2 linked regions of the Schizosaccharomyces pombe genome follow. Changing the gene in region 2 together with the main gene of any one other region gives a genetic interaction. Each region holds a gene or a part of one and is shown on either strand. Other genes may lie near its edges.

What was found.
Region 1: mutations in rcm1 (region 2) and plb3 together harm fitness less than expected from each alone (positive genetic interaction), as found in Schizosaccharomyces pombe (one large-scale study listed by BioGRID).

What each region holds. Positions count from the first base shown.
Region 1 is NC_003424.3:1,069,230-1,074,294, reverse strand, and holds plb3 (lysophospholipase Plb3), read left to right. Parts: upstream 1-1,932; 5' UTR 1,933-2,167; coding exon 2,168-4,156; 3' UTR 4,157-4,372; downstream 4,373-5,065. Other genes in the region: SPOM_SPAC1A6.11 (uncharacterized protein), read right to left, coding at 441-761; wdr55 (WD repeat-containing protein), read right to left, coding at 4,479-5,065.
Region 2 is NC_003424.3:4,268,366-4,272,980, forward strand, and holds rcm1 (rRNA methyltransferase), read right to left. Parts: upstream 2,539-4,615; 5' UTR 2,507-2,538; coding exon 2,371-2,506; exon of another isoform or gene 2,310-2,370; coding exon 2,251-2,309; exon of another isoform or gene 2,190-2,250; coding exon 1,002-2,189; 3' UTR 744-1,001; downstream 1-743. Other genes in the region: 3'-5'-exoribonuclease Dis32, read right to left, coding at 2,932-4,615. UniProt on the Schizosaccharomyces pombe protein: S-adenosyl-L-methionine-dependent methyltransferase that specifically methylates the C(5) position of a cytosine in 25S rRNA.

The sequences.
Region 1 (5,065 bases), 3.2 Mb from region 2:
TTTTTTTGTTTTGTTTGATTCAAAAAATTATTATTTATATGTATATATTTTGTATGATAAAATTTGATTTTTAAAGGTTTGCTATACTTGAACAAGGAATAGTGAACTTTAACATACAGCCTATAATTCATTAATTAGGATGAGGAAGGAGATGTAGAAATGAAAAAATTTAGTTAACGTAAAACAGATTATACGATCATTTACAAATTATATCAACTGTACGCAATTTAATCAATGAAGTAGTGGGGATGTAGATGAGACAGTATAGAATACATCACAACGAGTAATGGGAGAAAAAAATTGTAGTAGTTGCGCGGGTTTTGCTCGGCCTCGGGCTTTACTTTCTAATCCGATGACTGTGAGTTACGTGTTTTGCAAAATTATTTAGCAAGTGTGCATTTTATGCTTTAAGTCTAAACGAAATGGGATCCGAGTTAACTTTAAGTTGAGGCTTTGCTTTTGATATAGGTATGCGCATGCGATTTACAAAAATCTAATCGAACAGAAGTAAGTATGTGTGTATGATAATAACATTTTGATAAATAAAGAAAACTGGCTAAACATATATTATGTAGAATTGAAAGAGCATAATTACAAGAAGAAAGACACTTGAAGATATGTTGTGATGTCATTAGATGTAGCGACTTTACAAACATGAAACTATGAGGAAAAAAAGAGTTACTGAGAGAGATTGATGATATTTTATATACACCATGACTCCAAAGATTGAAGGAAGTTAATAAATAAACATTGTGATTCATATTTTAATCAATTATGTAAAATGCGGCCAGTTGTAATGTAATGCGACTAATTTGATGCCAGTAATGTGTGTTAAATAATAGTCAAGGACAATCTGCAAGTTCCTTAGAAAGGTCCGGTTTCGAAGAGGCACACTTAATATCCGAGGGCGGCGCAGTTGAAATAACCAGCCCGGTTGAACGCTACATTCTCCTATACTTAACCTGCAAATGTTTCCGTCGTTAAGGATTTTAGATATATAGCTTAGCAACATTCATCCCAATGTGAACTTTAAAGCAGTCATAGTTGACCAGAAGATGAGCAACAAATTCAACGTAAAGGCTTGCGTCTCAGCGACTGCTCAAAATATAGATTTACACAACAACTTTACATATTAAGCGATATTTAAAGGACCGACAGTCTCGGTCTCTTTTCGCATAGAACGGAAGGGCATTTACATCATGGGGATGTAAATGGACCTTTTTTGATCTACAAAATGGGAATCTAAAAAATCTGTCAAAGATAGACATATGTGTCTCTGCTTACATATATATACATATATATATAGGCTGAATCACTTTCAACTTGCCTTTTCCCAATATTAAAATTATCGCACAAGTCGCTACTTTAGCTACTACTAACTTTTAGGGTAAGAAAGTGTAAGGGGGGATTTGCTTGGAGACTAGGCATGAGCTTGTATTTAATTGGAATAAAAGAAAAAGAATAGGAATTCATGAATTTGTTGAATGAAATTGCAAAACTGCAAGTCATTTGTATGAAACATAAAGCAGATGAATCCCAGGTTTTCGGTTACGATGCGACGTTTGCCGATGAACAGAAATGGTAAATGGTTTCGCATTTGATTCCGCAATACCGCAAACAGAAAATTTTATAAACCATGGAATTGTCAAGCGTTTCGCCAAATTCAAGAGCAAAATCCAGTGTTTATCTTAACATTGAGACGCTATGCTTTTTAATAAAAATCAATAACTTTGGATACTAACTTGTCATTTATTTAGACACAAATTACAATAATCAGATCCTCATATACCGGAGCAGAAATAACAGCACGGTAAGCAGATACAGTGATACAGTAAGAGCTGCGTTGGAATACGGGTGAATTTCAGCTATAAGGAGTTTTAAAATTTTTACGTAGTAGGGCGCTTTTGGTTTAATTTGTTTCACCATCCGTTTACAAATATTCCGTTGTTGTGTTGTTTTCGTTCACAAGAAAATTGTTTGAGGGTATAGTCAATTTTCTAAACTTTTGTGGGTCTAGAGAGACAGTCGTTGATTCCATCGTTTGTTTTGAGCGCGTTTTTGTAACGGCCTTCTAATCTCTGAGTTCAAGCAAAGCGGTGTGTAGATTTTGGCATAATTTCCCAAATTTATTGACCTAAAGACGGTTTAACTATAAAAAAAAAAGACAATGTTATTTAATTGTTTTGGAATACTCGCTCTGCTCCAGATCCTGCCGGCCTTGGCGTACCCGCCTTGTCGCGAGCAAATGTCGGATCCGTATGAGTTTGGGGAATCTGACTTAATGAGACCGGGCATGCATGACACGCCTCTTTCATTAATGCAAAAACGAGAGGCTTTGGCGATTTCGCTTTCCAAGCGCGACAGTGTTGGATCATACGCGCCTTATAATGTAACTTGTCCTAGTGACTATATGCTACGACCTGCTTCTGACGGAATAAGTTCAGGCGAGCAAAGTTTCATTGATAAACGTATCCCCAAAATCAATACACAAATGAGGTCCTTTATTTCCAACACTGGTTTGGACGTAGATGTAAACTCTGTGATTAATGATTCAGATGGCCCTCGTTTAGGACTTGCATTTTCTGGCGGTGGACTCCGCGCTATGGTCCACGGAGGAGGTGTTTTAAATGCTTTCGATTCTCGAAATGGCAATGGTTCTTCACTTGCTGGAATTCTTCAATCCGCCATGTATATCGCTGGTCTTTCTGGTGGTTCATGGCTGGTCGGTTCCGTAGCTGTTAATAACTTTGCCAATATTACTTATCTACGTGACAACGTTTGGAATTTGGAACATAGTGTCTTTGCTCCTCATGGTGACAATGTTGTCGAAAATCTTGCTTATTATGACGACCTGGATGATGAGATTGATCAAAAGAAAGATGCAGGATTCGATACTTCTTTGACCGATCTTTGGGGACGCGCTTTATCTCGTAAGCTTGTCGATGCTACCCAAGGTGGTCCAAATATCACATTTTCTAGCATTAGAAACCAAACTTGGTTCCAAAATGCCGACTATCCTTATCCCATCATTATATCTGACAGTCGTTTGGAAGAGGAAAAAGCTATCCCTGCCAACACCAGTATATTCGAATTTACTCCATACGAGTTTGGTACTTGGGACAATGGTATTAAAGCTTTTCTCCCTATGGAATACGTCGGTACCCATTTAAAGAATGGTGTTCCACCAGACCATAAGTGCATTCGTAACTATGATAATGCCGGTTTTGTTATGGGTACTTCAGCTACATTGTTCAACACGTTTCTGTTAGAATGGAGTCAGGAAGTAACGTCAAATAGTACTCTCTATGATATTATTCATAAAGTATTTGAAAAACTTTCTGAGGATCAAAATGACATCGCTCCTTACCCCAATCCTTATCAGAATTTCACGACTACAAACACCACCGTCAAAAACCCTTTTGAGCGATTCGATACTATTGATTTAGTAGATGGTGGTGAAGACGATGAGAACATTCCTATTTGGCCTTTGTTACATCCTCAAAGATTTGTTGACGTTATATTTGCTGTTGACGCAACTTATGATGATTCTAATGGTTGGCCTGATGGCTCTTCTATTGTTACTACATATGAAAGGATTATAACTTATAACGCCAATAAAAGTGTTGATGTTCGAGGTTTCCCGTATATCCCTGATGAGGACACAATCATTTCCTTGGGACTGAACACTCATCCAACATTCTTTGGATGTGACGGCAGAAACACTACTGCAGGTAATCATACCGTAGATAACAATACACCTCCTCTTCTTGTTTATTTCCCCAATTATCCTTGGGTTTACTATTCCAATATTTCCACGTTTACCATGTCTATGAATGACACTTTGTCCAGTGGCATTCTTGAAAATGCTGCTCTATCGGCTACTCAAAACAACAGCGATTCATTTGCAGTCTGTTTGGCATGCGCCATGATACAACGTTCCTTGGAGCGCAAAAATATGTCTACTCCTAGTCAATGCTCTTCTTGTTTTGAACAATACTGCTGGAATGGAACAACCGTGAACAACCCTAGTGCCGTTTCAAACTATGCTCCTACTGTGTTATCTGCATCAACCACTTCTGGTACCTCTTCTGTACGAGCCAAACCTATAGTATTTTATTTATTTGCTTCGCTTCTAACAGTTTCGTTACTATTATAGACGACGAAAGCCTCCCCCACTCACACACCTTGGTATGAGTCACTTTTCGACTTGAAAGAATTAAAAAGCATAGACTGAGTCAGGCTTTTATTTATTAATTGTAAGGTATTAATCACTACCAAACTTGTGGGGTTCAAAGGTTTTGTAGTTTTAGTGTTAGTGTTAGTGAATTCATTTTAAGTTTTCGAAGCACAATGTTTCTTTTCTCTAATGAAGATGTTTAGTTTAGTTAATTTAGGAAGATCGCTTTTATTTTTAAATATACAGACAATTAATTTTAATAATGATTGTGCAATTTTATAGATATCAAAGCTGTTTTGAATTATAAACCGTCAAAAAAGTCAGTTCCTAAAGGCTTTTTCCCTTGATTTCCCACCTTTTTCTTTTTCTTAGGACTCGAGAATTCAGAGTCGCTGCTGGAATCTTCATCACTATCTAAATTATCAGAGGAGGATGACTCATCTCCTTCCTTCTGATCAACCGGCCAGAAAGCTAGTTCGGTTCCACTACAGGAAACTAAAAAATTGCCTTCGGTAGTAACATCCACAGCGTCTACGGTTGATCGCGAAGAGTGTTGCCCTATAATTCTTTCGTATTTGTTTGGAAGAATGTGTAACAAACGTATACATCCGTCGCTTCCGCCAACATACAGACTGTCAGAATCAGCACGAGTTATTGTTTCTATTGAAAAATCATGGGACCGAATTGGCGATAAAATGCGATCGGTATGATCCCCCCAATCACCCTTTGTAAATAAAGTTATAACTCCACTGGCAGTACCAACAGCAAATTTCTTTTTTGAATGCTGATCCCGTGTAAAAGCTCCACAGGTCATTTCTTCGTCTTGTTCTTCACTCAATATTGGTTTTTTGAAATTACGAGCATCGATTACTGACAAAACTCCATCAC
Region 2 (4,615 bases):
GAAAGGTAGAGGGATAAGCAATGAACTTAATACAAAAATCTCTGTTGGTCATGTTTTTCACACCATGGCAACTCGAATTTTGAAAGGCTATTTGTGCAATAGTAAATGCTTCTTCGCAACTATATAAAAGCTGAGAGAATTTTTATTATTTACAAAGAAATAAGATCATATTTTTTTATAATATGCGTGCACGCGATGAAAAGCTTTAAAGGGTTTGCAATGAAAAGTTGAAACTTTTGTTTATGCGAATTAACTTATTTATTTTCTATATAATTTATTAATACATATATGTATTCGCTGTAATGGCTTGGTCGAAGTGTTTAGTACTCCCAATAGTGCATGTTCGGTGGTCTCGGGTTCGAGTCTCGCTTTCGATCCCTCGATCTGCCACGTCTGTTCGAAGAGTAGTCTTCGTGGCAACTGGCAGTTAAACCGTGTAGTACCGATGGAGGTTGGAAACAATGCACATCACTACCGGGTCTTGGGCAGTGCGATAGCGATGGGATTCACCTTCGCAGGATGTGCATGGAAGTATAAACACAACGGTCGTTTCTTCTTTTTTTCATGATTGAGCAATACAACATTGTTTGAGAAGCCTTACTGTTTTTGAAATTGTTAAGATAATGATTTGGCTAATCGTAGTTGTTCACATGCTAATGTTGTTCTTACTCTTACCATATAGTTGTTAGGTTAGCGAAAAAGACTTAGTAATCCCTTTAAATACAATTTCATCATTTCCTCAGGCTCATTTAGTTAATGCTCAAATTTAATGATTACTTATCTTGCCTACTTAATATCCATTTCCGATTAGTCCCCGTAAGATGTGTATTTTTTTTTAGTATCCAGTCCTTAACCAAAGCCGTAAAGAAAAAAAAATTAAATATGTGTGTTTTCCAAAAACACAAAAAATTGTCTATAGAAATTGAGATCATACAACGATAGCTTCTCTCACTTTGTTGAATAAGTGCTATGCGATAATTTGTCTTAATGCTTTGATGAATTTACTCTTCACCTTGTATGCGAGCCTTTTTCTTCACTTCCTTCTTTTTCTTTTTGCGCTTACGCTTTTTGGTATCATCATCATTTTTATACATTTTGAAAGTTTCTTGCTCTCTTTGAGGGTGATACAAATTGGCTACAAAAAAACCAATAGTACCTCCGGCTCCTGGTTTACACCGAATCATTCCTTCAGCCATTGAAGGTTGAGCACAATACTCTGGAATTCCTCGAGTTTTCCAGTTGGGTAGAGTTTTTGTCAAAGAGTTACATTTCCAGTCAGGTTCTTGCGACAAAACCTCACATACTACTTGTTCGTTTTCTAAACGGTGCACTGAACATGTAGAATATGTGACATGGCGGCAGTTAGGAAATTGTAAAGCATGCTTTAAAATGGTAGACTGAAAACTACACAAATTTTCAAGTCTTTCGGTATCTTCCGTAACGTCTTGTTCATTACCCAGCAGATAGTCTTGACGACTCACAATTCCAGAACCAGAACAAGAAGGATCAAGCAGGATATGAGTGACATTTCGGTAAAGATCACTCTTGGGATCAGTTAGGGTAAAATCTTGATGTTCGATGGTGACATTATTAGCGCCTGATATTCCCACCATTTTTCGAAGTGTCTGCACTCTTTTCGCGTCACGTTCAAATGCAAATATATGAGATTTTGGAAAACAAGCAGCTAAATGAGTAGTTTTGTTCCCTGGAGCAGCACATCCATCTATTATATCACCAACGTGACCAGTTAGCCCGGCCAATACAGCAGCAGGAAAACAAGATGCCTTGTCCTGAATAATCACTTTCCCCTCCTTGTACAATGAATTTTCAACTATAGGAAATGATGGATCGATGGCTATTAAGTTTTCAACACAATCATCAATATAAAATTTGTCGGGGCCCAGTTCCTCAATTGAACTGACTTTATCCAAGCCTAAACCTTGCAAAACCTCGTCTTTTGTGCTTTTAATGGTATTTATTCGAAGCCAGCGAGGGAGCGACACAGGATTTTTCAATGCCAGCTCCTCATGGCTCTTAACCCCTTTTTTCACCTTGAGTTTGACAAACTCGGCGTTCAGGCGTGTCTTGTGACGAAGAATGCATTCCTTGATAGGACCATTTGAAATGGATAACCCTCGCTTTGACATCAGTAAATCATGGACAAGGACTCTAGCCAAATTTTCTTTTAACTACAATAACCAGGTTAGCTTCAAAAAATTACGAAACAACTATCGTTTCATTAATTTGTACCTTTTTCTCTAAAACTAATAACTCGGATCGCGCAATTATTTCATCCAAAACAGGTTTATCTATATAAAAGAAGAAAGTTAGTCAAATCGTTTATATTAAAGTTTTACTATTCTTGTTTACATTTGAGAGTTTCGCAAACCAAAGCATAAGTGCGTTTTGGATCATGTTTTTTTGAATTAAATGCTAATTGCTTAATTGATCCTTTTTTTTTACTTAAATCTGAAAGTATGTTGGCAGCATGATTATAAAAATCCATATCGAGGCAAGATCCTCCTCGGTATGAGTAGTGGAAAAGCTGCTGCACAAAACTGAGTACCTTACTCAGGTCACAATGTCTATTGTTACTTGTATGTATAGGTATAAATAAAATATTCAACAATTGCAGCCAAAGTGAATTTGTTAACTAAAGAAATTTCTTATTGATGTTAAATTTTTTATTTTAATTGTGTTTCTCTCACGAATGAGAAAAATATATCAAACATAAGTCGTCTGGGCATAACAAAGTCATTCAATTGTCATAATCCATGAAACATAATAGTAATAATAATAAGCGTTTTAAAATGTGTAGGATAAACGTGAACAACCATTCAATAGGTGGCATGCATCATAAATAAAAGGTAATCTGACCCAAAATTAACAAAGTTATATTTCAGTCAAAAATTCATAAACAACACTAGGCCTTTAATTCAAAGAAACTAGACTACAGCGAATACTGAAAAATGTACGACTGTAATCAGAATATAAATAAACTTGGAAACGATCCGTAAGAGCTATAGTCTTTTGAGAATCATCAAACAACGTAATTTTAACAGAGGAGTCATCGGGAGCAACTATAAAACTTTTAATTCTATCATCTGAACTGAGGTCTACTCTGTTGGATATTCCATATTCAGAGATATAGACATCAATAGAATTTCCAGATATTCTAGTCGCAAATGCTTGAACTGGCATAGATTTCTTATCATGCTTTTTGCAATACTCAGCAATATATACAGACAAAAAGAGTTGCTGGCTATCTTCTTGCACAGTGGTGGATTTCTCCTTCTTTTCATTACAATGTGCAGCCACTAACGAACAATTTTTTTTGTCAATACCCGGGGATGTGTTCTTAAGGCTACGTTCCAATAAACGATGAACAATAATGTCAGGGTATCTTCTAATCGGAGAAGTAAAATGGGTATAATGATTAAATGAAAGAGCGTAATGGTGCCAGTCTGTTTTCTCACCGAAATCGCCAGTACAAAAGTATTCAGCACGATTTAACGAGCGAACTGCCATATTTTCAAATAATTCTACCAATTCTTCATTAAAAGTGCTTCTGAGTCGTACCATAGAGGCATTAAATGCAGCTGAAGACGATGCATCGAAATCGAAGTTCATGCTTTTTAGAAAGTGACAAAACTCATTAATTTGTTTCTCTTTAGGACTTGCATGGCGACGAAGCAAGGAATTATTGGAGAAATTTTTACTGATATGTTCAGCAACAGATCTATTGGCGAGAAGCATAAACTCTTCGATGAGATGATTTGCATCGGTTTGCTCATATACCTCGCATTTATTCGGCATTCCATATTCATCTAATTGGAATTTGAGTTCTGTCGAGTTAATCTCTACAGCGCCCTTAGCAAATCGATCTTTGCGAAGCTTTCTCGAAATTTCGCAAAGTGTTAATATAGACGTTTCAACATCTTTTGGAGTATGCGTACCTCCTATCGGTTTGCCTACAGCATCATCCCAGGACTTTCCTTCGATCACACCTTGAGCCTCACTGTAGGCAAGTCTGGCACATGTCTTTATAACTGTTTTGCCAAACCAACGCTTACCAATTTCCTTACCATTGGAGTCGAGTTTCCAAAAAACGCTAAATGCAAGACGCTCAACGTTGGGATTTAATGAACAAAGTCGTTCACACAACAGAGGAGGAAGCATCGGAATAGCCTTTTGCACAAGGTATACTGTTGTAGCCCGCGAAGCTGCCTCTTTGTCCAATGCTGAATCTGGTTTTACAAAATGAGTAACATCAGCGATGTGGACACCCACTTCATAAGTGCCATTGTCAAGAGCGCGACAGGAAACAGCATCATCCAAGTCACGAGCTGTTTCAGGATCAATGGTAATAATTAACTCATTTCTTAAATCTCTTCGTTTTTTTATTTCCTCATGTGAGATAATCCAATCATCAGGAGGCAAGCAGTTTAAAACCTCATCAGAGAAGGGAGAGCTACTAATTCCATTTTCTAGCAAAAGCGCATTAGTGTAAGCCTCCACGTCAGTAATATTTCCCAGCTTTTCACCTAATACACCCATAGGGTAACGAGAGTAAATACTCCACCTTGTAATCTCAACTGAAAACAACTGATCGTGG